Danio rerio: one gene and its partner. The protein of the gene in region 2 binds, or shares a complex with, the protein of the main gene of each other region. Links are inferred from orthologs where the notes say so. Each region holds a gene or a part of one and is shown on either strand. Other genes may lie near its edges.

What was found.
Region 1: the proteins of lzts1 (region 2) and asb7 are in contact, whole or in part, in a crystal structure (PDB 8Y1U), measured with the Homo sapiens proteins. The link is inferred for Danio rerio from reciprocal best matches to the Homo sapiens genes LZTS1 and ASB7. Residues at the interface, in NP_001349813.1 of Homo sapiens: Arg346, Glu348, Leu349, Leu352, Met353, Glu355, Gln356, Leu358, Leu359, Glu360, Lys362, Leu363, Arg364, Ser365, Tyr366; in NP_937886.1 of Homo sapiens: Asn46, Trp48, Ala56, Ile79, Phe82, Tyr87, Met90, His91, Asp116, Trp118, Val123, His126, Tyr127, Ser147, Lys149, Thr151, Gln155, Leu156, Ile159, Arg160, Phe182, Arg185, Tyr186, Ile189, Lys190, Arg210, Leu220, Leu223.

Annotation. Positions count from the first base shown.
Region 1 is NC_133182.1:9,748,349-9,765,651, forward strand, and holds the start of asb7 (ankyrin repeat and SOCS box protein 7), read right to left. Parts: upstream 8,364-17,303; 5' UTR 8,308-8,363; intron 7,525-8,307; 5' UTR 7,448-7,524; intron 5,197-7,447; 5' UTR 5,154-5,196; coding exon 4,943-5,153; intron 1-4,942. Other genes in the region: lins1 (protein Lines homolog 1), read left to right, coding at 8,702-8,761, 13,406-13,681, 13,765-13,854. UniProt on the Homo sapiens protein: Probable substrate-recognition component of a SCF-like ECS (Elongin-Cullin-SOCS-box protein) E3 ubiquitin-protein ligase complex which mediates the ubiquitination and subsequent proteasomal degradation of target proteins.
Region 2 is NC_133183.1:47,934,816-47,952,135, reverse strand, and holds the start of lzts1 (leucine zipper putative tumor suppressor 1), read right to left. Parts: upstream 9,458-17,320; 5' UTR 9,309-9,457; intron 1-9,308. UniProt on the Homo sapiens protein: Involved in the regulation of cell growth. May stabilize the active CDC2-cyclin B1 complex and thereby contribute to the regulation of the cell cycle and the prevention of uncontrolled cell proliferation. May act as a tumor suppressor.

The DNA of each region.
Region 1 (17,303 bases), on a different chromosome or scaffold from region 2:
ACATTTAAAGACTTCACTAGATTAATTAGGTTAACTAGGCAGGATAGGGTAATTAAGCAAGTTATTGTATAACTATAGTTTGTTCTGTAGATTATCGGGAAAAAAAATAGGGTCCCACTTTATATTAAATGGCCTTAACTAATATGTAATTACACAGGAATTGATAGTTTGTTACAATGTACTTATTGTGTAAATACATGTATTTACTGTGTACTTATGCTTGATTAAATACATGTATGTAATTACATCTGTAATTAAATTTTGTAATTACATTTGTAAATACACTGACCATCCCTTACACCTTAACCCACCCTTAAACCTACCCATACCACCAAACCTGTCCATAACCCAACCTCTATCCCAACTCAAAAGCACCACAAGTGTTCCCAAATACATTATAAACACAGTAAGTACATCGTATTTATTTATTTTTTTTACATAGTAGTTAAGGCCACTTAATATAAAGCGGGACCAAAAATAGCTTAAAGGGGCTAATAATTTTGACCTTAAATAGTTTTTTGAAAAATAAAATAAATAAATAAATAAGACTTTCTCCTAAAGAAAAAAAAAATATTACCAGACTTACTGTGAAAATTTCCTTGCTCTATTAACACCAATTGGGAAATATTTAAAAAAGAAAAAAAATTTCAAAAGGAGGACTAATAATTCTTCAACTGTATATGCATGCATGCATGCACGTGTGTATTTTTTATATACATAATAAACACACAGCACACACACATACATGTCAAAACAAACTTTTATTTTGGATGCGATTGATTTTTGCCCAGTACTATTTTAAAATATTAAATTTGACTTTTAACGCTTTTAAAATAATAATACTAAATAATTATTGTTATTTACTTTTGAATAATTTTTTGCCACATGACTAGACTGATTAAACTAATTTCATAGCTATATATAATTTAATAAATCGCTTATTTATTAGGGCTAAAAAGGGAAATGCTATGATTTATATGACTTTTTGGGGAAGGTGCAACCACATGAATATTCAGACATTGAATGTTTGGAAAAATAAATCAAATTCTAACATTACAAAATGTTATAATTGCTTTTATTCTTGATATTAAAGATGCAATAGGACAACTGCGATAATGTTAACCGGCAAGCATAAATCTCTGAAACACAGTCCCACCTCTGCCGTCCAAAGCCTTTAGTTGAAATCTGCATTTGCTGACAGTTTGAGCTACTTATTGGAATTATGGGAGATGTCAGCCAGAAACTATTTTAATTGGATGAACATTTTTTAGTTTTATGCCTTACCCAGAAAATAAAAATACATTTAAATACATTTAGATCATTTACTTTAATCAATACTATTGGAATGTGAAGAGACTTTCAACCAGCACAACAAAAAGTGTTGACAATCACCTACTGCACCTTTATTATAATATATTATTTTAAGTATATTTTCCAACAAAGTCAAATAATCAAAAGAAAAGCCAATATTACTTAATATTTGATAGATTTTTATACTTTTATGACAACAATTATAATTATTATTAATTATTTGTTTTTAATTATTTTTAAAATACAGCTAGATCATTAAATAGTTACGCATTTATTATTTTTATTTATTATTAGCTTGGCAATAAATCAGATAACATAGTAATATTTTTATGCTATCTATTTTCACCCTCTGATTTGAACTAAATGTATTCTGAATCTCAGCACAGAAAGCAATGCGACTGCACAGTGGATCATTCTTGACAAAAATAGTCTGTTTTATTGCGCCCCCTAATGTTACGCATGCATTACTACACTCATACATAAGCATTCACTCTCAGAAATAAAGGTACAAAAGCTGCCAATGCGGCAGTACCTTTTAGAAAGGAACACATTTGTACCTAAATGGTCTGCATTGACACCTTTAAAGGATATAGTAGTAGCTAAACAGTAGCTTTCTTATTTTTTAGGCACATATGTGTACCTTTAATGCACAAACATTAACTGTTGGCAGCGTTTGTCTATGAAAGTACCAGTTGAACACCAGTCCGGTATTTTAAAGCATAATAGATGACCAGAAGAGATGCGGAAGCTAATGACATAATAAATCACATCAGGCACAATAATAACCTGGATTATCAGAATTGTTCTACTGAGAAAAAGATCTTGATCATTTCAAAATCATAATTACACAATTACATGAGAAGATTCCCACCTACAATTAAGTAGTGCCTAATCAAAGGGTAATTGAGTTCACTAAAATGTATTTAAAAATTGAACTTGTTTTATTTTAGTTAGATGCCAAAGCAATATTTCTAAAATTCATTAAGTTTACCTTAAACGAGCAAAACTAAAACGAAAAGGCAGAGTGAAAAATAAAAACTGCACATAAAGAAATTAAATAAAATAAGAAGAAAACATTCACACCACCATCCCCTTCACATAAAAAATACAAAACATTAATATAAATATATACAGGGCTTGACGTTAACGCCCGTCACACAGGGCTACATCGTCAACGCTTGACAGAGGGCGTGTCGAAAGTTGGGGCTGATGCGATCGTCGTAGCCGCATCAGTCAATGAAATTAGTCAGCAATAGGCCACTGTCTGAGCTGGTGTATTTGCATACAGCAATCTGATTGGCTTTCCGTCGGCGCTTGAAAAGTTAAACAAGTCTCAACTTCTGCAGTGAGCAACGCCTCTGAAGCAGCGCTGACGGATCCACAATGCAGTTCGGCAACGCCTGACGTCACCCATTAAAAGCAATTGGGAAGAGTTGAAGCTGTGCCCCGTGTGAATGTGTGTGAACATCACTAGCCACTCTCCATTTTCACTAGCCACAATTTTATTGTTAGGAAAACATATTTTATATGCATAAATTTGACTTTAACATGCTAAAATGACTTGATTTTGGGTCATGTCCGCATGCATTTCACTTTGTGTGTTGTGCATGACCTTGCTCAATGTGCATGAGCATATGGGTTGTGGTTTCATAGCAATTAGTTTTTATTTCACATGACTTTTCAGGGTTCAAAATTAAGGATTTACCATTAATTATTTAATTTATCTCTGACCACACCAACAATAAATTATTATTTCTTAGCCATACATTTTAAATAATGTGTCAAAACAAGCAAAATATAGCTCTATACATACACTTTTTTATTAAACAAAACTTTTCTTTTTAAAAATGATATTGTCATGTATCTGAAACAATGCATAGTCTGTGTCCTGGTCAAAGGTCTCAGATCACCAGTTAACTAAACGGGAAGTCAATCTCCTATTAAAGCAATCTTATTGTACAAAATATAGCTAAACCATACATTAACAAAAACAACTAATGCCTAGTTCAGACTGCGTGATTTTAGCCCTGATTTTGGCTCGCCGATAGGTTTTGAGAAATCGTCGACAAATGCCTGAAATCACGGGCAAATCGCTGCTCGTGCACGTGAGTGACAATCACACAGTATGAACTTTCAAAGACGCGATCTGAGAGAATCACCGATGAGTCGCCGATGCCTGTGAGATATTTGTCATGCTAAATATCTGGAGCTGTCGGCAATTCAAATCATGCCGTGTGAATTGAGTTTTGACTGAAAATAACATCAGCGATCGCCTACAGCCAACGAGAGAGCAGCTTTCACTTGTGTGTGCGTGTGTGTATACCTGCTGCAGGCCAGCGGGAGGCTGGGGGAGAAGTTAAAAGCGCTCTTTTTCGGTTTATTTGTACCCATGAAATGGAGGAAAAACTAGTGGAGGTTTGACAGGACTCAGGAGCAACCGTGTCTGTTTGACATTTCATAGAGAAAGAAATTCGCTTAATATCAACTTAAGTTGAGGGGAAATGGCTAATTCCCTTTAAACCCAGATGAGCAAACATGTACATGTTCAACCCCATTAAAGGCTTCTTTCTCATTATGTACTTAATAACAAAAGATATACTACGTGTTTTTGGCTGTGAGACGTAGTTTGGACGAAGTTGTCGGCGATTCTCCCTATAGTAAAGTCATGCAATGTGAAAGCCCCTGTCGCCGATCCATCTTGCAGTGTAAACAAAGCAGCGACGAAACGCAAGCCCAGATAGTCATGCAGTGTGAAAACATCTGTGACACGACTACTTTGAAAATCATGCAGTCTGAACTCGGCATAAGCAAAAGAAAGCAGGTGGAAAACATAGCGCGTGTGATAATTAAAGGATGGTCGCGCTACGTTAGGCCTGTTAATAATCTATTCAAAGAATGGTGAAAGTGAATGGTGGAAGTGACCCCTGCTGCTTACAAAAACACATCTTTTTACAAATTAGGAGCTCTTGAAAGAAGGAGTACTGTGGGTGCACGAGCATCACCTTTTGTCAAGTCTATTTCAAAGAGAACCGATGAATTGCACCAATTGCATTTTCAGGAAAGGAAACGGGAGCACGCACGCTTTTTAAACAGCCAAGCGCATTACCTCACCTGTGCACGTAAGAGTTATCATCCTCTCATTCGCTATTCATCTGCTTTCTTTTGCTCACGCGAACACAATTACTTTTGTCAGTCATGCTGCTTCTCGATTTTAGGATCACATTTGCACGCATACTGGGCCATCTTTATTGTAGAACCCTGCTTTTAAGACAACTACAATTCAAAAATTATTTCCAACAAGTGGCTAGTCGGAGTGTCTGTCTAATCTACCACAGCTGAAATTTGGCGGGTTGGCGGGTGTTAATGAAAATGATTATTAAACATTATGTGTAGATTTTCAAAAATGTTTTTTTTTTATTGTTTATATATTTTATATATCTTTGTGGTCTTTATTGACTGTTGTTAAGGATGATCAAAATAACCGATTAACCGTTAACTGAAAAGTACGAAAAAGTACGAATAGGGACAATAACAAAATGCCTGAGTGACCCTAGGAAGACCTTATGATGATGAATGTTTGAATTAACATAGTTTTAAAAGTCACACTGAATGCTTTAATAAAATAATTTACCTCCATGCTCGAGGAAGACGCGCACGCAGCGCTCCTTGCCCTTTGCTGCAGAGAAGTGCAGCAGCGTCCAGCCGTTGGCGTCTCTGATCTTGGGCGAGTAGCCCTGCTCCAGCATCTTGCGGACGGTGTAAACATCGCCCGCCGCCACCGCTGCCTGGATCTGCAGCTCCTCCTGCAGCTCTGGGTTCCTTCTGCAGTGATGGTTCAGCATCCTGTCACATCGCGCAGTACTGCCGGCAGACGCTGCTGTGTCCCTGCACACACACGGACACGATAAAGTGAAAACAATAGGCAAGCTCATCACTGTGAATCAAGGGACGAATAATTAAACATGCAAAGCTATATTAAAGTGCAAAAAAACTGTTTTCAAAACTTTTAATTCACCATCTGAGTGATCACACAAACAGACAATCGTGTTTTTAGACTCAAGCTAACAATGAGTATTTTCTAATACTGATTAAATCAGTTTAGAATATTTTCTCATTCATTTGCCAACTATATTATAAATGAAGAAAACCAAACAGATAAATTTATTCTATATAAGGTTATATTGATTTCTAAATATTCTAATATTCTTTAAAATAAAATACAATAAAAAATTCAGAAATTATATATATATATATATATATATATATATATGTGTGTGTGTGTTGCAAAAAATATTACAATCTACAACATTTCAAACTAAATATTACATTTTTTTCTCTTGATTTTTGCTATTTTTGAACATTTTATTTAACATTTTGCCAAACATACTAATTTCTGAACCAATATTGTAAGTTATTTTGTTAAAATAGCTTAATGTATATGTACAAATATAATATTGTAAAGCATACACACACACACACACACACACACACACACACACACACACACACACACACACACACACACACACACACACACACACACACACACACACACACACACACACACACACACACACACACACACACACACACACAGTTAGCCAATAACTTGCCAAATTAACCAAACTTGGCTAGTTAAATTGCACTTAAACTGAATACTTGTATCTTGAAAAATATCTAATTAAATACTGTCATCATCAAGACAAATAAATTAGCTATCAAAACTATTGTTTAAAATTGTGTTGAAAAAAACTTGAATATAAGAACTTGGGAAACATCTGAAACAAAAAAAATAAATAAATAAAAATCACAGGAGGGCTAATAATTTGGTCTTCAAATGTATATATAACAAAATTCCAATCATCAGACAATAGCTCTGTAGATAAGAATTATAATTTATTATCATTAAATAAAATGTAGGGATTACTAATATATTACAAAAACAAATAATTTAATTTTTAATTCAATTGTATTACAAACTAGTTACATTTCACCATTGTTAAATTTATTATTTTAAAATTTGACAATATTCAAAATTATTTTACATTTATATGTAAAATATTTGGTCGTTCTTTATATCTAAGAGGACCACATGATGGTTTGACAGACTAAATATAAGCTAAAAACTTTTTATCTTAGATTTTTGAAAAAGGAAACCTCCATACTTCGCTTTTAAAATGATTTTGCATAGGGATGCACCGATCGATCTGCCGGAGATCGATCGATCGATCGGTACTCGCTGACCTGGTCGATCTCATGAACTAATCACAAGTGTTTATGTTAGTTGGACATGAGCAAAATATTTGAATGACCTTACATGCATTTAGGTCTTTTAACATCAAAGAACTGAAAGTTCTGTGTTTTTGACAATATTGCAAGTTTAATAAAACATGGCTGAAAGTATAACATACAATTAATAATAATAAAAAAAACATTAAAATATTTTTTGACATGAATATTTAATAATATAACATCTTGTAATTTACTTATTACAATCAACAGTACTTTATAGACATACTTCCTATTAGTAAAGTAGGATTTATAGGAAATAGATTTATAGGTGTGCATTTTAACTTCCTATGCATCAAATATACGCTTCAAACATTTCTTGATTGAGACATGTTGAATTTTTTTAAATCATTTGCAACGTTTCCAAACTGCATTGTTAGTTTTATAATTACTTATTATAATCTTATAATAAATACCTATTTATAGTGGTTATAAGAGACGTGTTTAGGGGGTTATATGCAGTATCCTTCATTTATTATATTGGCTAAGGAGAGATCTCCACTTAAGTGTTATACCTAGAGGGAAAAGAGGGTTTGAGGGTTTTATGCATTATAAAGCTTAACGCATCCGAATCGGTACTCATTATCAGCCAATCACCATGAAAAGGAATCAGTACTCGGTATCGGCTGCAAAAATCCTGATCAGAGCATCAGTAATCTTGCAATACTTTTGCAGGAAAAGTGAATAGTTAAAATATGGAAATACTGACATACTGGAAATATTATTCTCCGTACAAAGCCACTAAACCCTACACAAACAACATAAGACAACACATCGAAATGCCAGAAATTACTTTAAAATCTATTTAAAGCAAACAAAAAAAAAACCCAGCTATATGTGAAATTACCATTCATTAATGTCTTGTCGATCTGAAACAGCCTGTGTGTTCTGCATCCATATTCACATCCACTTCAGATCTCCATTCTAGACATGAAGAATGCAGAAACATCAGTATTTGAATGCACACACACATATAACTCAATACACACACACACACATCATTTTTACATGCATTAACGCGTATAAATGCAGATGCATCACATTCAATTAGCCAAATCTAAGCGACGACGTCTTATTTACACAATTATCCGTCACATTACATTGAACATTTCTCTAATACTAACCTCAGCATTCAATATTTACAACCACCCATCAGTTCTTAATGTTATTGTCTTTCATTTTGTGAAAAACGAGCATTTGAATACTTACATTCACCTTTAAACACACACAGATTCGCTAACATAAACGACACACACCACAAACGACCCGAGTTTCTCCATCACCACGGTAAATAAAAGGTAAACAATTGATGTTTGCAGCAGCTGCTCCACTGAGAACAATGAATCTGTTAGCTGGTGCGCTAAAGCAGCTAAAATGAGCCTCAAACAAACACCAAACCGGCTCTTTTAAAAGCCAGGAGTAACTAACTTAATCTGAACACCACTCAAACACATAACACGTTAACACTCATATCGAGGACTAAAGTGAGGCAGAATTCGCTAAACTCTCTGACTGACATGCACAGTTACTACATTAGCATTGTTAGCTTTTAGCCAGCGGTTATTGACCATTTTCAGAACAACACCGCTTTTAAAGTTACTCAAACTCTCTTAACCTTCACCTAGAGGAAACGTCAAACAATATCGGCTCAATTAAGGCCATAATGGCACAGGGGACAAATATAGAAAATATATATAACATACATACAGAGTACAAATACAGTCAGGTAGCCATGAACATCTCCAAGGCTTCAAACCGCAACGCCCAATCAGATTCGAGCTGTCAAATACGTCACGCCTACATCATAATGCTGTAAAAGCAGTACGCCGCTTGGCATATTTATTTTTTTGCGACAATTGTGGCTGAATAAAGGCAAACAGCAGTACATGTGGTTCATTTCCGCGGATATTATGATATCGTTCTACACAAATATAAAAATGAGCAGTTTTTATCACGTTACGAGTTCTGCTTATACGCAGCATCTTTCGTAAAGTCACGTAAGTAAGTCACTGGATTTCAGTACGATTTTATGTGTATTGTAACGTTATATCTCTAATTACACTTTAAGAATTTCTAAATATTACTAATATTTCTTTAGGAAATGAATATCTCAGAGACTGAATCAATTAAAAATTTTGATTGGAAATTCGCCATAAAGCTTGTAAGTGATACACTAAGCTATTTATTTCTCTCGTAATATCAACATATAAGATTTCACTTGATATAAGGAGCATTACTTTGGATCTAAATGAAAATATTTATTATTTTAAACTTAAAAATGTCATCAGTAGTTTACAGAACAAAACAAAAATGACCTTTTATGCAAACACTATCAACTATCGAATGTAACTCCAGCAAAATTGATGAATTATAAGTGTTGTTTATATATTAAACAGTCAAATTATTCATCTTTATTGTACTTTAAAAAGTGTTTACCATTACTATGTGATAAATATCAGTTCTGTTGTTGTTCATTATTATAAATAAATTATATAAACGTTGAGATGGTTGGAAAATCGCCATAAAGCTTGTAAGTGATGCACTAAGCTATTTATTTCTCTCGTAATATCAACATATAAGATTTCACTTGATATAAGGAGCATTACTTTGGATCTAAATGACAACATTTATTATTTTAAACTTAAAAATGTCATCAATAGTTAACAGAACGAAACAAAAAAGACTGTTTACGCAAACACTGTGAACTATCAATTGTAACTCCAGCAGAATTGAGTAATTATAAAGTGTGTTGTTTATGTATTAAACAATCAAAGTACATTAAATCCTTAATGCACTTTAAAAAAAGTTTTTTTGATTAATTTGTGAAAAAATATAAGTTCTCCCTACTCAAAAAACAGCCTAAACCAGCCTAAGCTGACTGAGGTAAAGCAGGTTTGATATTCGCACATTCGTTCATTTAATGGCCCATATATTGTTTACCATGCTAAGTTGAATATTGAGTCTGAAAAAGCATGCAGGGATGACTTTAAAGCAACATTAACACTATCTAATGGACATTTTCTGCTAATATGATTTCACTATTTAGAATTAGCAAAGAATACTCATCTGACATTATATTATTAAGTGGAAAGTCAGAATATAAAAAATATAAAACCAACTTTACCTCTGTCCTAAGCTGGTTGGCTGGTTTTTAGCTGGATGACCAGCCTGGTTTTAGAGGGATTTTGGCCACTTCCAGGCTGATTTCCGGCCATTTCCAGCCTGGTCTTAGCTGGTCAGGCTGGAAAATGACCAGCTAAAATCAGCTTGGCCAGCCTGGTTAAAGCTGGACATTGCTAGTTTTGGCTGGGCTCCCAGCCTGGCTAGGCTGGTCAAGATGGTTTTAGCTGGTCATCTCCCAGCCTCTCATAATATCAACATATACGATTTCACTTGATACAAGTACCTATTTTTTGTTCTAAATGACAACATTTCTTATTTTAAACTCAGAAAAGTCATTAGTAGTTTACAGAACAAAACAAAAATGACCTTTTACACAAACACTATCAACTTTAAATTGTAAATCCAGCAAAATTGAGGAATTAAAAGTGTGTTGTTGATGCATTAAACATATGAAACATTAGTGGGATGAAATGAAAATGTACTTACTATTTACTTATCCTCAAACAGATCCAAACATGTATGTTTTTCTTTCTTCTGTTGAACACAAAAGAAGATATTTTGAGGAATGTTGAAACCATGTAACCATTGACTTCCATCATAGTAAAAACAAATACTGTACTATGGAAGTCATGGGTTAACGGTTTTCAGCTTTCTTCACAATATCTTTTTATGTATTTAACGAAAAAAAGAAGTTTGAAATAAGTAAAAAATTAGTTAATGATGACTTTTCAAAGGCCCTCTAAAAGTTGAAATGATAAATAATTTGAAATAGTTTGAAACAAGTAAAGTGTGAGTAAATGATGCAGAATTTTTATTGTTTTTATTTTTGGGTGAACTATCCCTTTAAGACTTACTGATGATCACTCTTATGATTGTTTTTTCACAGTATGTCATGATGGAGGCTTTAGGACTGGACTTCCACACTTTTTTTTTTGTCTGATAAATCGGTTCTGAGATTTTAAAAATGTATTGTTATATTGAAATGAAAATTTATTTACTATTTACTCATCCTCAAGCGGTTCCAAACATTTTTGCGTCTCTTTATTCTGTTGATATTACGCCCCAAGTCTAGGGGGAAACAACATAGTCTCAATAAACGAAAAAGTCTGTGGGTGTTGGATTTTCAAAAAAAAAAAAAAAAAAAAAGTTAAATTGAAATTCAAAGCGTTTTTTGATTTTCGTTTTTAAATTTTAAAACGAAAATCAAAAAATAGCTCGTTTTTCTTTTTTCATGGTGAAAAACGGAAAACCTAAATTCAAAAATGATTTAATTTTCATTTTTTATTTCGAATAACAAAAAAAAAAATCACCAGAAAACTAAAACGGTCTTTTGATCATTGGATATTCATTTTAGAAACAGATATTGAAAATCAAAAAACGAGTCGTTTTTTTGATTTTCATTTTAAAATTAAAAAACTAAAATTTAAATACAATGCGTTTTTGATTTTCGTTTTTTAATAAAAAAAAAAAAAAAAACGACTCGTTTTTTGATTTTCAATATCTATTTCTAAAATGAATATCCAATGATCAAAAGATACACTGACCTGCAGGCCACCCCTACAAGCTTAAACTCTCAAAATGTTGCTAGTATACATGGGCATTTGTACAAGACTAAAGCTTGGCCGGAGGGGTAGGAAAATCCAGGAGCTCCCCGAACTCTGCTGGAAGTTCCCTTTTATAGACCTCCATGACCAGCAGCCAATCAGAGCCTGGACCATTTTAAAATCGGAGCCTATGGGGTAACAGGAAACAACACAAGGCAGGACAAAGAAAAAGACACATGTAATGCTCAGCAAAAATAAATAAACTAGTCGTAACAGTTAAACAAAAAAGAAGATATTTTGAAAAATGTTGGAACCCTGTAACCATTGACTTCCATCGTAGAAAAAACAAATACTATGGTTGTCAATAGTTACCTGTTTCCAGCTTTCTTCACAATATCTTCTTATGTATTTAACGGAAGAAAGAAATGCATAATGGTTAGAAACAAGTAATAAATGATGACTTTTTTGGGGGTTGAGCTATGCTTTTTAAGACTTATTTTTATATATTTGAACTATTTTCACCTGCTGTGATGAACAGCCACTTCTAAAAGGCACTCGAAAAGTTGAAATGATAAATATTTTGAAATGGTTTGAAAAGGTTTAAACAAGTAAATGATGACACAATTGTCATTTTTTGGATTAACTATCCATTTAAGACATGGGTCTCGAACTCAATTCCTGGAGGGTCACGACTCTGCACAGTTTTTGTTCCAATTCTAATCAAACACAGCTGATCCAATTAATGAAGGTGTTCAAGACTACTAGAGATTATTAAAGGGTCATGAAACACCAAGACACATTTTTTGAGCTGTTGACAGTCGTATATGTGTCCCACACTGCTAAAAACACTATTAGGACACTATATTTCACTAAAAAGTGTAAATTGGTTGTTTTTGCGTTATTTCAAGCAAATCTATACTTTTGGTTTGAAACAAATTTTTGAAGCTGAGTCACGGCCATGAGACAATAGCGTGTATTCCAGCGTGCAGACTGGACGTCTGTGCCAGAGTGTGTCTTATTACGTCTTACAGTGTGATGCATTAATGCATGAGTAAAGCTTGGTTCAAACCAATCAGCGCGCTCTATTGTGCAACTTCATTAATATTCATTACTGTCACAGTGTTTAGACGGCAGAGACGCCACGTTGTGTTGGCAAAACAAGCGTGAAGTGTTGCTTTTATAGTTTGCTGCAGTTAAGTTTTGTTTTCATTTTCTCTCTGTGAGAGCGCAGCTGGGGTCACGCGTGGATTAACAGTGTACGCGACGCTCAACAACAATAACTTACATGTCTAAGGAGGATTATTGTTTACCTGAGAGCTGTTCTCATCTGCAAACGCTGAGATCCGGATTCGCTTGTAGTCTCCTCTTAATAAAGATGCGGCTCTAGTTGCTGGTGATTGTCCTGTCTCTACAGATTTGGTAAGTGAGCGACCAGTGCTCTTTGTTTATTCAGTTTGTTCGTATCGAATTAAGTTAACTATTGCACCGAGTGTAAACATGTTAGCACCACAACCAAACTTTAACCTCGTGTAGGATTTTCACCACATTTTGTGACCGGAATAACACATGTGGCTTTCTGACACTACCTGCCTTTGCATCTAAGTTTCCGGGAAATGCGGTGGTTTTTTTTCTCTCATTCGCCGTGCGGTATCAAACATTGCATGAAAAATACACGCTTAGAGCAGTTCCTCGAATCAAATATCTCGTTTGTTGCGAGGGACATGAATGAATTCCCTGAATGAAAGAGCCAAACTGCAATTAAAGTCCACCATTTAATAATTTGGCAAATAATTCTACTACAGATGTCCATGTAAACACACTCCCTTTCTCCCCTGTGTGTGTGTGTTTTGACTCTAAAACTCAGCGTGCCCAAATAGACACTCCCACACCCTCCCACTTTAGTTCCTCCGACACTCCCCCCTAAACAGAGCTGGACACGCCCACTTTTCTGACTTTTTCCAAAGTAGAGGTGTGAAAACACCCTGCTGAAACGAGGGGGTTTCATGGCCCTTTAAGCAGGTGTGAGTTAAAGGTGGTTGGAGCTGAACTGTGCAGAGCTGTGGCCCTCCAGGAATAGAGTTTGAGACCACTGCTTTAAGACTCACTGATGATCACTCTCATGGATGCTTTATTCACAGTATGTCATTATGGAGGTCTCAGAGCTGGATTTCCACAGTGTTTTTGGCCTGTTGCATGCTGGATCGGCTCCAGGTTTGAGCAGTGAAGATCTCGCCAGCAGAATCTCCTCCTGTGTTCAGACTGTCACAAACACAGATGATACGTGTTTGAGTCTCAGTCTCATTGAGAGCGTCATTAGCAGACTCGCAGCACACAGTTTTACAGCGGACGCCGCTGTATATTATCAAGATGTCATCAGGAGATTGTTCACTGAGAGGAATCTCATGGCTAAACTGGTATGTTTTAAATGAAAGAAGTAATGATATTTTGATGATTATAAAATATAATGTATTTAATAAAGTCAAACCTATATCTGCAGGTTTCTCTCCTCAGCTGTCAGGATAAGCTCGTGTCTCATTTTTCTGCTAAGTGCATGTCTGTCTACGTCATCAAAGAGCTTGGCATTGCTGTGAGTATCACATACCTGTCAACCCTCCTATTTTTCCTGGGATTTTTACAGTTCTATCCCGCTATGATCATGTAATGATATTTTCCCGTATTTTTCCTGTATTTTCAGTGTTTCTCTGAAGGGTGGCAAATAAACATTAAAGAGCTGAGCCTCCCTATATGCAACCCATACCGCCGAACCGCAAGGGGTCGCCCTTTGCTCTTAAATGCGAGTCTGTTCTGTGCTTTCGCTTTGTTTAGGCATGAAAAGACTGTAGCCCCTTTCACACAGTGATACCGGTAAATTTCTGGAAAATTTCCGGAACAACTTTAACGGTATATTGAAAAAAGCGCTGTTTACACAGACAAGGACGTTACGGAAATTTTCCGGAAAAGAGCATTCTCACATCCATTCCAAAATACCGGTAAATTCTGACATCATTCACCACAAATAAGCTTTAAACGGCTGCGCTTGTATTTGTAAACATTTGACTAAATTACAAACTCTGTGGATGATCAATATTGTGAACAACTTTCGCTGGATCACTTTCGCATGTCGAGATGTTCATAGTATGTGCGTGTGCGGCGCTCATAGGCGCACGCAAAGCTTGAAGGTAAACAAACAACGGCTTATCATAAGCATTTCATCGATGATTATTTACACAGTTGGCATTAAGAAAAACATATAAACGTGATCTGACTAACTTCTAGCAGCTAAATGTGTCTGGAAAAATATTCAAAGGCTTTTATCCTCACAAACCGCGCGGACGTAAATGCGTCTGACTGTTGTGATTGGCTAAAGCAGGTGTCTCACGTCAGCACGTTCTAGACGTGCACGCGCTTATTACGGCAATCTTCCTTCTGCATTCACACAGCGCAGCATTGCGGCAAATTGCCGGTAATGTTACAACTTCTCTTTCCGGAAAATAGCCAGAACGAATTTACCGGTATTTTCAAAAAGGACCTGTTCACACATACAACCAAAGGTCTGTATGTGTGAAAGGGGCTTGTGAAATAAACATAAAAACGGCTCGATTCCCTTCCTTTTCACATCCCTTCCGTCTCCCGTTCATATGCAATCCTCAAAACAGTCACATAGAGGTGCATGACTGTCAACTGACGCTGTCACGTACAAAGAATGTTCAGATGGATCCAAGTGCAAGTGAAAAGAGTATTTATTGACACAGTCAAGATAAATGTAAAGAGTGTGTGCGGTGCTAGGACAAGGAGAAACCAGAGCAGGGATCAGACGGGAAAACAGGGTCCAGTGGTAACTCTGCACGGTCCTGAGCACAGACAAACGAACACATAAGCACTTGTAAGGAACTGACAAGGAAACACAGAAAATGTCGCATATATATAGACGTGATAATGAGCCTCAGCTGGCGAACTAATCAAACCAACTGAGTGCCGTCATAACACGTGACCAAAACAAATACACATGGGCAACAAAACAAACTCACATGATCAAACAGACACTCCGGAAGAGCGCACAAACCTGCAACCGTGACAGACGCGCTCCATTGGTAAACAGACGCTGTTTCCTTAACGGATTCTGTCCTCGTGATTTGAAGCTGCTGAAAAAAAAAAATCCCAGAAAAATCCAGCTTAAACCAGCCTAGGCTGGTTTTAGCTGGTTGACATCTCCCAGCCTGACCAGCTTAGACCAGGCTGGAAATGGCTGGAAACCAGCCTGGAAATGGCCAAAACCACTCTAAAACCAGCCTGGTCGACAAGCTAAAACCAGCCAACCAGCCTAGACTGGTTAAAGCTGTTTTTTTCAGTAGGGATAGCTATTAATTTTAATAATTGATTTGCTGCTGATGTTTGCTATTTATTTTTTCTTTTGTAAATAATAATAATAATAAAATGTATTACTGACCATTAACTGTTTATTTACAATAAAACGGCGGTCGGGGGCATCCCTTATTATGGTGGGCATATCATTTATTTTCACATGCCAATGTTGACAGGTATGGAGTATCAGTGTTAAACTTTCATGGGCTTTATGCACAGGGAATTCTTAGGCACGTCTAGTGAATTGTCATGCCATTATAAACTCACCGCGTTTAAAGGTCCAGTGAAATGAAAATTAAGTTTTGTATAGAAGTTTATTATCAGTATGTCTGTCTTTAGGATACCTATAAGCTAGTGTGCTACAAAAAAGTGACAGAATTTGCATTTAAAAGATATAAACAATAAAAGCCTTCAGTTTGTCACTTCCACCTAAATGGATCAATGATTTTTTTGAGGTCACCTCATATTTTAGTTTCTCATCAACTCTTCTGAACAATCAAATACTTTCTAGTGTCTGACATGCCCCGCACCCTTCAAGAAGCTTCTCATTAAGACAAGAAGGACAAGAAGCTTGACATTAAATAAAAATTGTTCCAAAACATGATTTTAAAATATGGAAAATATGAGTGCTTTCACACTTGGGTCGATTACCTGGTCCGCCCCTTCTGCTACGTGAGCAAACCTGCGGTCGTTGAGTGCGTGAAGTGTCCATCATCACACACTTCATTTTACCATCTGAATGAGTGCATCATCATCCGGGTAATTAAAGTGGACTTATTATTTTTAGGCTGTGTCCGAAACCTACTAGTACTCAGTAGGTACTGCATTTGAATTTAAACGTACTACTCGGCCGTTATAAAAGTACGTTCTATACAGTATTAATGTAAAAAGTATGAATGGAATTCAGACGTACTACATCCACCATTTTGACATAGTCATGTGACGTACATGCATCAGTTGCGTCGCTTTACTCCCATTCATGAATTAGCTCGCGGGGCATCATGGGATAGCGCAGCATGCATGGGATGGGCACTCCAGAATCTCGCCAGAAGTAGTAAGTCATCCGGGTACTTCTCGCAAGACTGGCAAACTGTTTTTCGAATTCTAAAGCTCTCAAATGGCACAACATGCACTCATGCACTATGTACTTATGCACTTACACACTCAACAGGGTAGTATACGTATGTAGTGTTGTCCCAAATGGCACACTAATGTTTTTTACTCAGGGAAAATTCAAACCGTTTCCCTGATGACGTTTGACGGTCACCAAATCAGTAAAATAAATGACCAAACTATCAAATAATACCTGCCACGAGTATAACCACATTCACCATCGGGAGGTGCTATAATCACTCTATTGGCGTAGAATAGTGCATAAATATGCGATTTGAGACGCAGCTTTTGAATTCGGACATACTACTTGGCTCACATACTGATTTTAGCATACTGTATAGTATGGAAGTATGCGGTTTCGGACGCAGCCTTAGAGTTTTCAGTGTAAACACACTACTTGCACTGTTTATACTACAAAATGGCGTAGAATAGTGCATAAATATGCTATTTGGGACGCAGCTACTGTCTTTTTGTTCTTCTGAACCCCGGTACACTTGCATCATCGAGCTGCTGTTGTGTGTACAGCTGTTGCTTGGTGACGGCTATAAAAGCCAAAGCGTC
Region 2 (17,320 bases):
AATTCTCCTCTTGAAACAATGTGACTGCATGACATCCCATAAAGCACCAATATTCCACACCCGAGCATATCTCTCAACCCACACAGCATTTCATAAGCATACATGAGTAATTTCTGCAGGCAGGAAAAAACATGTCTCTCGTTCTCTCCTCGCAGGATTAACTGTAAAGACATAAAAGGGCAGCTCTAATGCCTCTGAATGTTTGCAATATTCAATGGTGCCAAACTGGAACAGAGTCTTTTATGAGATCATAAACCGTCTGTTTACTAGACACAAAACTGTCCTGGGTGCCATCTTGAGTTATTGATCTTTTTTTTTTTGGGAGGGAAACAGGTGTTTTCAAGAGCTTTTTGCTGAAGATGTCTGGCATGAGGGTCGGGGAGTGAAACGTCTTGGACTTAAATGGAAAATAACTGACTCTGTGTTCAGACGGGATGATAAACTTGTCTGTTCAGGGTGAAGTTGAACACCAACTGTTCCTCCCACATGCAGAGACTGTGTGTATATGTGTATGTAAGAGAGAGAGTGAGGGACTGAGAAAGAGAGTAAAAAAAAGGTCAGGATAAAGTCTATAATGTTTGTGTGCACTTGATATAATAAGGGCCATAAATATCATGAATTGTTCAGTCATAAATATCACATTTTTGTGGAGTTGCACAAAAGATATTTCACAATCTGAACTAACCCTGGCCTTTCACAAGGTCAACTTATCTGCTGTTGAAGTTGACTTATTGACGCAAATGTTTTTTTCCACCCTGCATGTTGCTCACAATACATGACTTTGATTTGGAAAACAATCATTATCATGATTAAATTATAAGATTTAAGGATGTTCATCGAAATTTAGAGGATGTTTAACCGAAATGATGCATTTGTAACCGGTTAATGGTATCAGTTAAAAGATTTAAAAATTCTATTTTATAATTTTTTTAGAGAGGCGCACCATTTGAATGGTTTACTAACAGCCCGAGTGTTTGTGCGCCTTGCATTTTGGCCTTGTGTGCTATGTGCTTGCAGTTAAAATAAAAGTCAGCCGAGCGGTAAAGGAGCATTACGTCAGTCGCATCTTTTTCATTCTTCGATCAAATGAAAACAGAGGCATTGAGTTGACAGCAGTGTTTGTGTTGTCAAGACAACTACGGATAACTTTTGAAGATGGTGGAGAGACTTGTGGTCGCTGTTTCAAGTTATCCAGAGCTGTATGACTTTACAAATCTTGAATATCACAATATTATTAAATATTACTATTATAACAACATGGACAGCAACACTCACACACAATACGGGTCAGCTGATTTAGTTATTTCCTAGGAACATAAAAAGAGCACCGCTCTTTTTTTTTTTTCGTCAACATAAAAGGTGGTGTGGTGCCCCTAACGCCCGATTCACACAGCGCTTCCGTGTCATCTCTTGACAGAGGGTGTGTCTGAAGTTGGGGCTGACGCGATCGTCATAGCAGCGTCAGCTTATGAAATTAGTCAGCAATCGGCTACTGTCTGAGCTGGTGTAGTTGTATACAGCGATCTGATTGGCTGACACTTCCGTTTGCACTTAAAGTTGAGAGTTCTAACTTCTGCAGAGAACAATATCACTGAAGCAGCGCCGACTGATCCACAATGCAGTTCGGCAACGCCTGACATCACCCATTCAAAGTGAATGGGAAGCGTTGATGCTGTTGACCCGTGTGAATGGATGGTAAATGTGCAACTGGAACACATATTTGTAAACTCGTGGGACGGTGACATGTGCAACCACTCATGACTAGACATATTTTGTCAAAGACGCAAAAAGAAAGAAGGTTATTTCTTGTCACAGTTAGACACAGACGAGTTAACACAAACCAGCACTGATGCTGATCGCTTCGGTCCTAGATCCGCATCATAAACTCAACAAATAGGCTGTTGATGATTCAGTGTACAACAATCCATTTAAAAAAATAATAAATCCTACATAATCTATAAATCAAACAAGTACAAAGAATGTCTTGATTTTTGCATAATATTTTACTCCGCACCAAACTAAGGTCTTTATTTTATGGCTTCTAAAACATGTATACAAATTAATGCAATATTATACGTAAACAACAAAACATATGTGATAGTAGTCTATACTTTACTAAAAGTCAACATACAGTATGAGCCTTAAGGTGAATTGACAGTTTGTCATTGTCTTTCATCACACGCACCATGCACACATTAACCGTGAGTGAGATGGAAATAAGTCATAACCATAAGACATACTTATAATTTCTATACAAAAATGTTGACAGATGTTTTGTGATATAATAATAATAATAATAATAATAATAATAATAATAATAATAAATAATAGTAATAATAATAATAATAATACATTTGAGGTAGCATTATATATTTATTTTTTTGACCAAAAAAAAACATGATTGGAAAAAACAGCCTATTCCTGTTATTAAAGAATTCAGTCTGTTTTCATTTTGTAATCTAAATTTGTCATTTAAGTGAAAAATATCTAAAGGAGGACTTTATTCTATTCTTTTTTCTATGCTGTTGGAAACTTTACAGGTTCGTAAAAAGATGTTCTGTTCTGTACGCTGTTGTTCTACTATTAAAATAAATCAGTATTTTAAATTGCAATATTTATTGTAACACAAAATAGATACATCCAGACTGGACTGTTTTAGCAACTGGCTCAATGAAAAGAAGGACTAAGCAAAATTGTTTCTGCTTTATAATTAATGTTCTCAACTCACAGCAATGCAACTTTACAAAAACTTTACAAAATTCACAGTGCAATTGTTTGCATTCAGTACTTTATTGTTATTATTATTTTCCATTTTCCATATTTGCAATGCCTGTATGTTGGGATTTATTTGCAGTCCACTTGGAATCCAACTTGCAAATCAATTTTGTCTTTATTGGCAATGATTGTTTCAAAATTCAAATGGCATTAACATGCCTGTGTTTTTATTTCTGTAATAAAGAAACACAGAAAGAAACTGTCAAGCCAGGATCTTGATGGTTTATGTTGTTTACATGAAGAAATCTGCAGTGTTACAAGTTAAACAAAAATTCTCATAAACAATTAAATTTTGAATTTAAATAGTTTTTGTCTAACGTTTACATTAATTTTACATTTTGAATAGCCTTGTTTTTTTTTTTGTTTTTTTTACATTTTGAATAGCCAAAATTATATATATATACTTCATTTATAGAAGTTTTTATAAAAATATAACAGTATATAGTGTACATCATGTATATATGTTAAGAAAATTATCTTGGTGTTATTAATTGATATTAACTAGAACATGCACCAAAACACTAGCAGACAATACAGCAATTATACATCACCATAAAAAATAAAAAAATAAATAAAAAAAACAGACTAATGGAATAATAAGGAAAGCAAGAAAAATGGGTAACACTTTATAATAACTACACACTATTAATCATTTACTAAGCATTAGCATCTAGTGAGTTCATTATCTGTTAAGCATTAACTCTACATTAATAAACGTTAATAAACAGTTTATGACTGTAGCTACAAATGCTTTATTCTTGTCTTACAAAAACATTTATAATGTGCTTAATAATTGTACTTTCATTCTTTGTTAATGATTTATTTTTAATTTCTATAAATTAAGAATTGCATCATTTACAAACCAGTTGTATTTAAGAGTAGTTGAGGGGTTTTAGGATCATTCAGAATGAGTTAGTAAATGATTAATAAACTATTGAAATCAACATTTATATATCTTATTATTTAGGCATATACTAATAGTTAACTAATACGTTAAAAATGCTTTATTAACTCAACTTCATGCAGTTTTGTGACCTAATCTAAAGTGAGGACTATTTCTGCTTTACAAATCCCTTATAAATGACCAATAAAGGCTCAGAATCAAATGAACATCAATCCTTGCAATCTTATTTAAAAAGTAAAATTACTGTAAAGTTTAAACATTGCTGAATAATAGGAGTGTCAAAATACAACATAAAACTGGATAAAACATCAACGACACTATAATAATATAACAATATAGTAAGATGCAATGTTTAAACTCAACAGTGATTTTATTTCAGGTAAGGTTGCAAAGATTTATTTTTAAATAAAACAGTTTCATGTGTGTATCTTTAAATGAATAGGAATGAATAACGTCATTTTTCCTGTTTAAAATTTAATTGAGCCTTTATTTGTCATTTATAAGGGATTTATAAAGCAGAAATAGTCCTTACTTTAGATTAGGTCACAAAACTAGATGAAGTTGAGTTAATAAAGCATTTATTAACATATATAGTACTTATTAATGTATGCCTGATTAATAAGATACAGTATATGAAGGTTGATTTCAATAGTTTATTAATCATTTACTCACTCATTCTGAATGTTCCTTAAAACTCTCAGCTACTCTTAAATACAAATAATTTGTAAATAATGCGATACTTAATTTAGTAATGAAAAATAAAATCATTAACAAAGTATGAAAGTACAATTATTAAACACAATATATTGGTGCTTATAAGTCAATAATAGAGCATTTGTAGCTGCAGTTGTAAACTGCTTACTAACGTTTATTAATGTAGAGTTAATGCTTAACAGATAATGAACTCACTTGATGCCAATGCTTAATAAATGATTTATAGTGTGTAGTTATTATAAAGTGTTACCGAAAAAGGTTACCAACAAAAAATAATTACAGAAGCATTATTAACCTATACATCTAAGGAAGGGGCCCCATATTTTGTCATACAACTTCTGTTTGCCAAATCTAGAGAAACAAAACCTTTCCAGCTTGAGGACAGAAACCATTTAAACTAACCATTTAAAACATTTTGGAGGTGTCGTTGATTTCACTCCATCAGAATCACTCTATTGGTCATCACCATATCATACCAAACATAAGGGAGAGTTGTTTATGCTTAGGCGAAATTAGAGCCTGGTCTGAATATCCAAATAGTGCTAATTCCGCATCAGTTTTAAAGTCCATTTCAACAGCCTGGGAATAAAGTCTGAAGATACTTTTCCAAAACTCAGATACTTCTGGACAGCACCAGAATATATGACCATAAGTCCCGACTGCGCCATTGCATTTATCACACAGAGGAGAGATAGAAGGATACAGCTTGTTAAGTTTAGCTTTAGTATAGTGTAATCTATGCATCACTTTAAATTGTATGAGCTCTAGTCTAACATTTATAGAATTAAATAATATTTTAATATTAATCTTGTAACAGTTTTCCTGTTACTATTTGAAAATTCTACCTGTAGTAGCTATCTCTCCCATTAGGGGGGGATCTAGGTAGTAAGTCTCCAATCTGCTTAAAAGGAGGTAGAGTAGAAGCAGTAGGGAGGAAGTATGGTGCCTAGCACATGGAAAGGCTTCTTCACTGCGCTGTTGTTTGTTGATGCCCTTATTTGAGAACATTTTTGTTCTTATACCTCAGATAGGGTTTTTGGTATACACTTTAAGTCATCAAAACAGGACCTGGACAATCCATCCTCATATCCGCAGACTTTTCCCATCCACTTTCCTACTGATTCCGTGGCCAACCATTGATGAACTGTTTGCTGAAATTGATCTTTCATGTGATTCACTTAAGGACTGATGGTATCTTTTTTGCTTGCTATAAATACTGGATTCAATGAGAAAGACACTTATCAAATGCTTATTTCTGTCGAAAAGTGATCATTAATGAGTTGACTGCTGATCATTGCATATCCCCAGTGTGTAACAATAATTATTCATACCTGTTGTCATATACATTTATTCTAAATACACATGAATCTCTGAAAGTTGTTTTTGTGGTCTCTCAATTTCTTTAATTTAGCTTAAAAAAAAAGTAGTTGTTACAATCTGACTAGTTAACAGTTAATATTCGATTTACAAGTGGCGGTTGTTGGTTGGCAAAATTTTACCGAAATGAGCATCCCTAATAAGATTTTATCTGACATTTATTATTTAAGTATAATAAAGTATTTTTTTTTTATTTAGAAAACAGGATCCAGTTGAACTATTTAAGATTTTCTTTTCAAGAATGAACTTTCTTCTGTAGTATTTATTTGCTTTTTATTAATATCAAGATAATTACATTGCCATTTGCTTACAGTTACTGTAAAATACAATTTAATACTTACATTTTACTATAATGGTTTTAAATTAGCTTATTAAAATCTATATATTTAATTTAGTTTTAAGTGAATTCATGTATTTTTTAATAAATTTTTAACTATTCATAGTAGTTTTTCAACCTCTGTTAATCGACAGTATAACACTTAATTAGGTTGTTTTTTGAGTTACATTTAATTATTTTTTTTCAATTTAATGTTTAATTAATGATTGGTTTTATTTAATGTTTATTTGGAAACTAAATATTTTTACAGTGAGAACAACGTTTAAGAACAGTTTTCAACTTATGCTGAATCTCACAAAAAATTGCAAGAAATGTATAGATCATTTCATATATATATATATATATATATATATATATATTTTCTTTTCTTTTTTTAAATAATAATGCATTTATTTTAAAACGTTGTGTTCATTTTTTTGTATAATAACAAAATAATATATATGAACTGTCATATCACTGACCAAAATAAAAGTATAAATTGTGATCACTAAAGCAGTAGAGTATGATTTATTCATTCTGCATGCTTAATGCTGAGAACTAAAGTGCTGGAGATACATATTACTGCATCTGCTATGCGAAATTTACAACTTAACTGTACAGTGTCTTGTTGTAGCTACATTAGCCTAAGTGAAACAAGCAAATATTGTCATAAAATGTCACACATACTGTAGTCATAAGGCATGGAGGGCCATCAATATTTCTGGATTCTGACCACTCTTTTTTTACACTGTAAAACCTAATAGTTTACAAATTTTTGTATAATGCATATTTTTACAGAACTTTTACAATTTTTACATTTTGATACTACAAGAACATGCTTGAAAACTACAACTTAAAACATTTAACCTAGCTTTTTTATGATGTGTTGGATAGTGGCTTTTATTTTGAAGCTTCCAAAAGCGCATAAATGGGTTGTATAACCAACCCATTAGCTGCCAGGGTGTTAATGTGTGTCTTATGAAGCAGATCAATGTGTTTTTGCAACACATTTAAGGTTTGTAAAATTATGAATAAGCATGATATCAATCCAACAGCTTTGATAGGGATACAGCTGCAATTAGAAGTTACCGTGAAGTATTGATATTATTTATTAAATTACGCATTATTATATTTTATTAGCGTCTACCCCTACCTCAACCCTAAACCCGACCTCACGGTTAAAATGTTATTTGTTGTGCTGTGTCACAAAAAAGGAATGCTACATTGATGTGAGTATCCTTAGCTGTAGCCCATCTAGACTTCATCGCGCTGCAGAAGAGGGTGAGGTCTAGATGGAATACAGCTATGGATACTCGCGTAACTAAAGCATAATCTAATAAAATAAAATTTGATCAGATTATGCAATATTAATTAGTGTATTCTCAGCTATATCTAATAATCGCATAATAAAAATGCCACTTGTTAACATCAGATCGCAGCTATATGCCCTTTAGCTACAGCAGTGGTGACGGTTATCCATCATATAACAAATAATACTCTCATTATTAAGCTGTTAAAAAGACAAAATATACATTCCTCATGAAGAAACAAAATACAATATATACATAGATCATCGGGGCTGGTGGGTCACGTGATAAACTTGACAGGTCACCATGGGAACTTTTCAAGCTATTTTTAAATTAAAGTGACAGTCACCAAAACTGCACATTAGGATCAAAGTCTAAAAGGGGTAGATTTCAAGAGTTATAAAATATAGTTTGTAGGATATTTTGAGCTGAAACTTCAAGTACACACTCTAGGAACATAGGAGACTTATTTTACATCTTGTAAAAAGGAGCATCTTGTACAGCAGGTCCCCTTTATTTACAATTGAAGCTTACACTTACATACATTTATATATCTGAACAGTCATTTCACTGACCTAAATAACTGAATAAACTGTGCTTGGAAAAGCTGTAGTTAATGATTTATTCATTCTGTGTTTGATTCTGAGAACCGAAGCGCTGCGGATATCCATATTTCAGTTTAATATACAGTAATCAAATTTTGAGTTTACATAACTTTTTTTCTGTTAAGTACAGTGAACAGTTTTACAGTTACACCATATCTTTGCAATGTCTGAAAAATTGTTTTTGCAGAAATCCTATTAAATGACACCAAATCTGTGTGTCTGTTTTCCTGCCTTTCCAGAGCTCAAAGCCATTGTCAAAGTGAAAATAAGTTCCTGAAGTATTAGTTCCTGTGTTCCCACATATCTTCAGTATACTTCTGCATTATCTGAACTTGTCTTAGCATGCAAGAGGCTGTTGTGTTCAAATCGTTTTTTCTCTGCAGTTTCTCTGAAACACCAGGGGCATGATGAGACCTGCTCATTTGGTTCTTTTATGTCATGCTATCAGCATCATCGCTGAGATGTAACCTTCTAATTAATATTTACCGAAGTTAAATGATCTTGACGTTTAGTTTAGGGTGTCCTTACCCATGTTTTATTATGCAAGTTTGTATTGTGATATTATTATTATTTTACAGAAGAACAGTATGCAGTATAAAGAGATAACAATGGCAGACATAATATGGTTAACTGGGACAAAACTAAGTATGTTATGCAAGTATACGTTTCTAGAATAATTCATTGCAGTCTCTGTGGTCTGTGATTATATTCATTTCCAGCAGTGGTTATCATTGTTTTGTCTTCTAGGGTTTTGCTAGTTAGATTCAAGTTTTGTTTATAGCAAAGAACATTTGATATTTGATAATTGAACGTATTAGGATTGTTATATATATATATATATATATATATATATATATATATATATATATATATATATATATATATATATATATATATATATATATTTTTTTTTTTTTTTTAATTTTTTTTTTAAATAAGCTAATTTTTTCCTTGACAACACTTAACTTTTGTGTGTGTGTGTTTGTGTTTATAGTTTTATTTCAGGTATCTCTCTTATGAAGGACATTGTAATGACTACTGTAAAATTAGGAAAAATCTGGAGAAATATTATTAATACCACTTATTGAATAATAAATCCTGACAAAACATCAAATTATTTTTAAATAATTCTAAAAAACATAATAATTATAATAATATTAATAATAATAATAATTATAATAATAATATTTTTTAATTAGTATTATTATTATTTTGTTGTTATTGCTCCTACTACAGAAAAAACTATGAAAACGGCATAATTTCAATCGCAAACAAATCATGCCCAAACTGTAAAATGAACAGTGACTCACCAGGTTTCATGTTCTTTGAAGTCTGTGTTTATCTCTGGATAAGTATAGTATAGTCTAAATGCTGTCTTCTTGTGTTGAGAGTGGGAGAATATAAACGCTCTGTCTCTCTGGTCGGTCTCTCCTCTCTCGATCTCCTCTTATTCTACACTGTGGGTTGAGTCTCCAACCTGCACAAACCCTCCCCCTCCCTGCTTCCTCTATTTTGGTTTTTCCCTCCCTCTTCGGCTTATCTCTTTAAGTTCCTCAAGTTCCTGTGTGCAAGAGTTCCTTTGATATCTGCAATGAATCTTTTATACATTTGCTGAAATGCTTTATTCATGAATTCAAACTGGTCACAACTGGTCAAAAAGTTTGGAATTGGTATTTATTTATTTTTTTCTTTTCTTTTCTTTTTTTTTTGTAAGTCAAGTTTATTACGTTTTTTTTCTCACCACACATGCATTTATTTGATTAGAAATACAATAGAAAAAAAAATAAAAGTTGAATTTACCCCAGACTTCATTTTCATGTGATCCTTCAGCAATGGTTATGCTGATTTGCTGTTCTGTTATGATCAATTATTATCAGTGTTGGGGTAACACATTGAAGCAAAGCAAGTTACATAATAATATCACTTTTTTAAGTAACAAGTAAAGTAACGCATTACTTTTAAGAAATAAATATTAATATTTGAATTGCTTTTTTTGAAATATCATGAGTTACTGTTTAGTTTAATCAATTAGCTTTAAAAAAAATAAATTGCTGAATTAAAATTTAAGTAGTCACAATAAGTCATGCAGTCAATGAGAGTAGATATTTATTAATCTGAACGCATCAAAGAAAAGGAAAAAGGGATTGTCTCAATGGACAGTGGTTTTACTTAAGACAAACTGTACAAAAGCAGCAAGCGCATTGCTTTAAACTTTCAATAATCTGTATGGCATGTATAGCTTCTCACATAAAATTATAATTTACATACTTTTTGGACCAGCTGATCATCTTCTTCTGATCTGATCTGATCGACCCATTAAAACACTTAGCAGACTGTCGTGTTATTTTGCCTAATTAATTGACGAAAGCTGTGATCTTTGATGCTCTGAAGGTGATTCATTTTCGAACAGACAGGCCCATGTGACATAATTTGGTTCTTTTCTTTATTGACATTGGGCTGACCCAATCCCAAACTTCCATTTTGGGCTCTGTGTAAGCATGCAACGTCTGTGTATTTGTCAAAATAGTCGAGAGTTACCCCTGCTTCTCACCCCACACACGCATAAGGAGAGCAGAAGCGGCAAATAGGCAATTGCGTCTGTAGTGCGCAGTGGATCGACAACTATTCCACAGAACATTATATATTCCTGTCTATTCTATATAGTTACCTATCCGTCAATGAAAATTTACTATTTTTTTTTACTTTTTATCTGCACCAAGGCCCGCGGCAACTTCCTCCTATGCTGTTTCTATAACCTGTCAGTCTCTATTTTACAAATTATATATATATATCATAAAGAATGTATGCTTCTCAAGCTGAGGAGTGTCATTCATATATTTTAAGATGCATTCGGTCAGAAGACAATTGCATGAAATATCATGACATTTTGTTTTTGTTTGTCAGCATGATGTAGGCCTATAAAGTTACAATAATATTTATACAATATGGTTATAATGATATTTATACATGACCAAACTAGTGTGCAACTTATGCAAAACTAATACTTTTTTAACATATAGTTTTGTAGTTCAGGCCCAAACAAATATTTGTTGCATTTTTTGCAAATAATTGTTTAAGTTCATTTAATTGACTATTTACAATCTTTAAGCTATGTTTTATGTTTCATTGTTGAGTCAAACATTTTTTAAGGTTCTGTGATACAACTTTAATTTTATTTTGTTAATTAACATTATTTGTGCGCATCTGCAAGCCGTTTTTGTTATGTTCATTATTTAATATAGGCTTCCTCAAAACACACAGGCACACATAAGATGGAGTTCAAGTGTGGTTTATAATTGTATAATAATAATAATATTATTATATAATAATAATAAGTTATATTTTAAAAGTTTTTAATTAGTCAATTCTCATAATTTCCTATTTATGGGTTTTGTGCTTTTATAGAATAGGAGTTGGTAAACCTATTTAAGGTCGTGCACAGATGAGGAGCAATTTGATTGAATGTAGTGGGCCGCTCTGTCCCAAAATGCCAGGGCCGATTTATTTATTTATTTATTTATTTATTTATTTATTTATTTATTTATTTATTTATTTATTTATTTATACATTTGACATTATTATTGATCATACATTTATACATTAATACATTATTATTGATAATAACAACAATAACAATAATAATAATAATAATAATAATAATAATAATAATAATAATAATAATAATAATAATATTAACAATAATGTCGCCATAAGATTAATAATAATAAAATATTATTATTATTATTATTAATAATAATAATAATAATAAATATACTATATAATAAAATAATAATACAACAACAATAATAATAATAATAATAATAGTAAAAATAATAATATTAATAATAATAAAGAATAATTAAATACTACTACTACTACTACTAAGAATAATAATAATAGTAGTAGTAATAATAATATTATTAATAATAATAAATAAATAATAATAATAACAACAATAATAATAATAATAATAATAATAATAATAATAATAATAATAATAATAATAATAATAATACATTTGAGGTAGCATCATATATTTATTGTTTTGACAAAAAAAAAAAAAAAAACATGATTGGAAAAAACAGCCTATTCCTGTTATTAAAGAATTCAGTCTGTTTTCATTTTGTAATCTAAATTTGTCATTTAAGTGAAAAATATCTAAAGGAGGACTATAATAATAATAATATTAGAATATAATACTAAAAATAATATTAATATTATGTAATAATAATAAAAATGTTGTTATAATAATAATAATAATATTAATATTAATAATAATAATAATAATAATAATAATAATAATAATAATAGTAATTATAAGAACAGCAATATTAATAATAATAAAACAAAAATGAAAATATGAATAATAATAATAATAATAATATCAATATTTATTATTATTATTATTATTATTATTATTATTGTTATTATTATTATTAAAAAATAAAAAATAGGCTTTTTGAGAACAAAGTCTTAGTAATCCCAATTTTTACTAGAAGTGTACTCATCTGCGATTAATAATATTTTACGGCATGCAATGTTTATGGCTCTGCTACTGTATATGGTGATTATATTTAAAACAATAAAGCATGTTATCGTGAAGCTCAGGACTGCCAGCATGACTCAGGTTATTTGGGATCACATCCGCTCTGTATAAATGCAGTGACAGTTAAGAGGGAAATGATCCTCTAGGCGTCCCGAGGGCCGTTTGATGGAGCTGTTCCGGCTCTTGAGTCCAGCGCCATCTATTACAGCTGTGACCTCTGAAGGATGCGAGTGCTTGAGAGGAGACTCTTTCCAAAACATCTGTGTCCTTCAAGGAGGTTTGCTTCTTTAAAGAGATAGTTTAACCCAGTGGTTCTCAAACTGTGGTACGTGTACCACTAGTGGTACGCAGGCTTCCTTCTAGTGGTACGTGAAGGAATGAAATATGTCATGTACATGCTACACATATTTCAAAATTTATTAAAAATGATGTATATAATATGCCATATGGCATATAGCCTATATTTTTGAGGTAATCTGCCACGTTTTTTTAACTGTGCAGGGTTGTAGCTGCTTTACTGGGCCTACTACGCTACTGTATTTCAATATTGTTCATTTTGGTGGTACTTGGAGAGACTATTTTTTTCTGAGGTGGTACTTGATGAAAAAAGTTTGAGACCCACTGGTTTAACCAAAAAGGATAATCAGCTGGTATGGAACACCAAAAAATGAAAAATGCTGTCATTGTTTACTCATTCAGGGGCTTAACAGGGGAAGTTGCTTCTGGGGCTCTGGCCCTTAATGCTTTTTTTCAGAAGCCCCAGATATATTGTGTTAAAGGTTTGTTAAAAAAACATCTTTCTTAAACACATTTTTTTGCAGAAAAATGTATAATGGTTAAAAGAACTGAACATTTATTTTGTATTTATTCACCCGTCAGTGCTTACAAACTTTTGAGTTTCTTTATTCTGTTGAATATAGAAATGAAATATTTTGAAGAAAGCCAAAAACCTGTAACCATTGACTTCTATAGAATTATTTTTTTCTACTATGGAAGTCAAAGGTTGCAGGTTACAATTTTCTTCAGAATAACGTATTTTGTGTTTAACCAAAGAAAGAAAGTCAAATAAGTTTTGAAATGAGTTTTTTTTTAATATCATGCTGTATTAGTCAATAATATATATTTAAAGGGATAGTTCAGGTATTTACTAACTATTTACTATTAAAGTACTTCCAAACCTTTTTTATTATTATTATTATTATTATTATTATTCCAAAGTTTTTTTTTTCTGTTAATCACAAAAGACAATATTCGGAAGAAAGATGAAAACCTATAAACATTAACTTCCATTCTAGGAAAAACTAATTCTATGGAAGTCAATAGTTTCAGGATCCCAACGTTTTTCAAAACATCTTCTTTTTTTGTTTAAAAGAATAAAGAAACTCAAATGGATTTAAAACAGTTATTCCCTATGCTGTTCATATTAATTTCTCATTTTAACCTGTTTGAATACTTATAAAATGCTGGTTTGTTTCTAGTCAAATTAAACCTGGGGGTTAATTTTTTAATATTGTTTTTTAAGTGAGTATTTGGGTTTGTCCATATTTTATCCACATCTGTCTTGAATCAGACAAGCATTTTTAGAGAGTATGCTGTCATCTGACACTCACTTTATTTAAATTATTTGGTAATTAATAACATTTACGTTATGTAATATTTCACATATTTTAAAAAGTTTCATACCGAACATACTGTATGTTGTCATATGCTGACTTGATACATAAGACGTAATATTGTCCAGGGTTGTCATTTTAATGCATTCTGTGACCTATTTTGTTTGATTTTATACATAAATGATTATAAATGTATTTGACCAATTCCAGCATTATGGATGTGACATTTGCAGTAAAAACTCAACACATAAATCCGTATAGAAAGTATGTTAACATTAAATTGAACCATCTGTTTATATTTTCCAGAACAACTAATTACAGAGTTATGGGACCAGAAAAACATCAATCTGTAAACATGTTTTGTACTTTAAATGTGGAAAATAAACATATGGATGTGACAAAAAAAGTCTGCGGGTTTACAGTATACAACATACTCTGTAGAAATTCTGTGAATTAAACTGCACAACCCAAAAGACATAATGATAATCAAAAGGATATAAGTTGGCTCTCTATAAAACAAAAATGATTGGTTTTATTCAATTTAATATTTTCATATTTATGAGGTAAAAACTGTTGTTATGGATGTGACATCTCTCAGTTATGGATGTGACGGATGTGAAATTGCCACTTGTGTGACTTTGGTAAATTAAATAAAATAGATTGAAAACATTGACAGATGCATTTTTGCGTATTTCTAAAGTACTGTGAAACACTTGCTTACATAAAAAACCCAGAAATGGTTTCCAAATTTTATAGGCAACTTACTTTTTTTCATTGCTAGGTTGACATCTGCTCATTTCTATTAGAATTTCTGAAATTTAAAGGGCACCTATGGTGAAAAATCTACTTATCAAGCTGTTTAGTCAGACATATACTTGAAGTCAGAATTATTGACCCCCCTTTGAATTTTTTTTTTCTTTTTTAAATATTTCCCAAATGATGTTTGACAGAGCAAGGACATTTTCACAGTATGTCTGATATTTTTTCTTCTGAAGAAAGTCTTTATTTTATTATGTCTAGAATAAAAGCAGTTTTTAATTTATGAACAATTTTAAGATCAAAATTATTAGCCCCTTTAATAATTTTTTTTGTTTGACTGTTTACAGAACAAACAATTATCATCCAACAACTTGCCTAATTACTCTAACCTGCCTAGTTAACCTAATTAACCTAGTTAAGCCTTTAAATGTCACTTTAAGCTGTATAGAAGTGTCTTAAAAATTATCTAGTGAAATATTACCATCGACCAATAGACGAATTACCAACCTACATCATACATGACATCACATGGGTCCCCGGTTGCAAAAAAAAAGACCGGCTGCAATAGCAAACATGTCATGTTGTGCTGTAGGATGCCAAACTTGAAAGTCCAAAAATAGAAAACATAACTTTTACTGTACGCCACACTGCTTTAATGCTAACTGCAGACATATTTGGCTAAAAGGGAGCTGAATGTAGTGACAACCTAACTAGAAATGCTGGACTCTGCAGTTTTCATGTTATATCAGGTAAGTTCATGCTATGCTGAATCATACACATTACTCGTTTTTGATTGCAGCAATGATTACAGCAAAAACTGTTACATATGGTTAATTAAACTATGTAAGTGTAAGTTAAGGTAAAGTAGGTTTTATTTTCACACATTCATTCAGTGACAACTTCACAATCACAAACACAATCCCTATATTGTTTACCACGGCACTTAATATTGTTCGGTCTGAAATAACCTGCAAGTGTTATTTCATTTCAGAAACAACATTAACACTGTTTATTTGATAGTGAACAATGTTGTACTTTGATAGTCATTGGCTGCTAATATGATTTCGCTATTTAGAATTTGCAAATAATACTTTTGTGAAATTATATTAAGTAGAAAGTCCTAATGTGTGAATATAAAACCGACTTTACCTTTATGTGAAAGTTCACATACCCTGCCATATAGTTCGCTGTTAGAATGCAGTTGTTTTGCAAGGCCTTGTACAGTTCTGTCTTCTTTCCTTGTCTTCGGCTTTTCAGAACCTCGGTTTTTAGCACTAAATTGAATCTGGTAATTATGGAACATTATTTCTTGCACATGACCACAAAGAACAATATTGTTGGCATCCAAAGACTTGTAGGCCTTTAACTTCTCTCTTGTGAATCACTTGGAGCTTCAATGAGACTGTATATGTGGGGCTGGATGCTTGGTCATTTCGTCTTATCCAATATTCATTGGGAGGGTGCTATCGCAAATGGACCTGTCAGATGAACGCTGCTAACTTTTTAACATTAGTTTTGCTGATTCAATGTGCTTGTCACTGGGTGACAAGCTATTATAATATGCTGAAAGCATTATGTAAATAATATATATAATATGTAATCAATACATCTTATTTCTAAGACAACAACAAACTCTGTACCGCATTGGATGTCATTCCCTCACTGTAAATGCTAGTGCTCCCGGCTTTTTTCTGCCACCTCCCTGCGTGCACATCCTGAATGTTTACAAACATTGTAATTCGTCTATTGACCGACCGTAGTTTGACGTAGGAATGCGGTTTCCCTGCCCACCAAATTCATTGACAGCTGCATATTAACATGTCTCCATAGTAACGTGTATAATTATATCAACAAGACAGGACGTGCGCAACCGGGAATAAAAGATCTGGGGTCCGTTCTTCGTACCTCGCTTAAAAGATCTAAGATGATTTGGCAGATCCGGGATCTTTTAATCTTGATAACTGATCTCTCGCTAATTTGGTTCTTCAAACAAGTTCGCGAATCAGATTAAAATGTCTGGATGAACAGATCTGAGAGTGCTGCGTGTGTTGTGAAGGACAGATCTATCGATCCTCGAAATCATGATCAGCAAAGCCATGATTGGCTGACGGCACAGCAGCGTAATGACATCATCTGATTAATATTCAATTATCCATGTGAGCAAAATTACATCAAATTAGCAGTAAACGATTTGTTAAATATGACACGCAATAACTTTCCACATTTGTTGTGAGCTGCAGGCTTTACACTTGTGTCAAGAGTATTCATCATGTATTTCAATGCATATCAATGTACTTAGTTCTCCATTTAAAAAAAGATTTTCTTTATTATTGTAGCCGGTTTAATAATCAATGTATGGAATAACTGGATGTTTACAAAAGCATTTTGATTTTGTTAAAGGTGT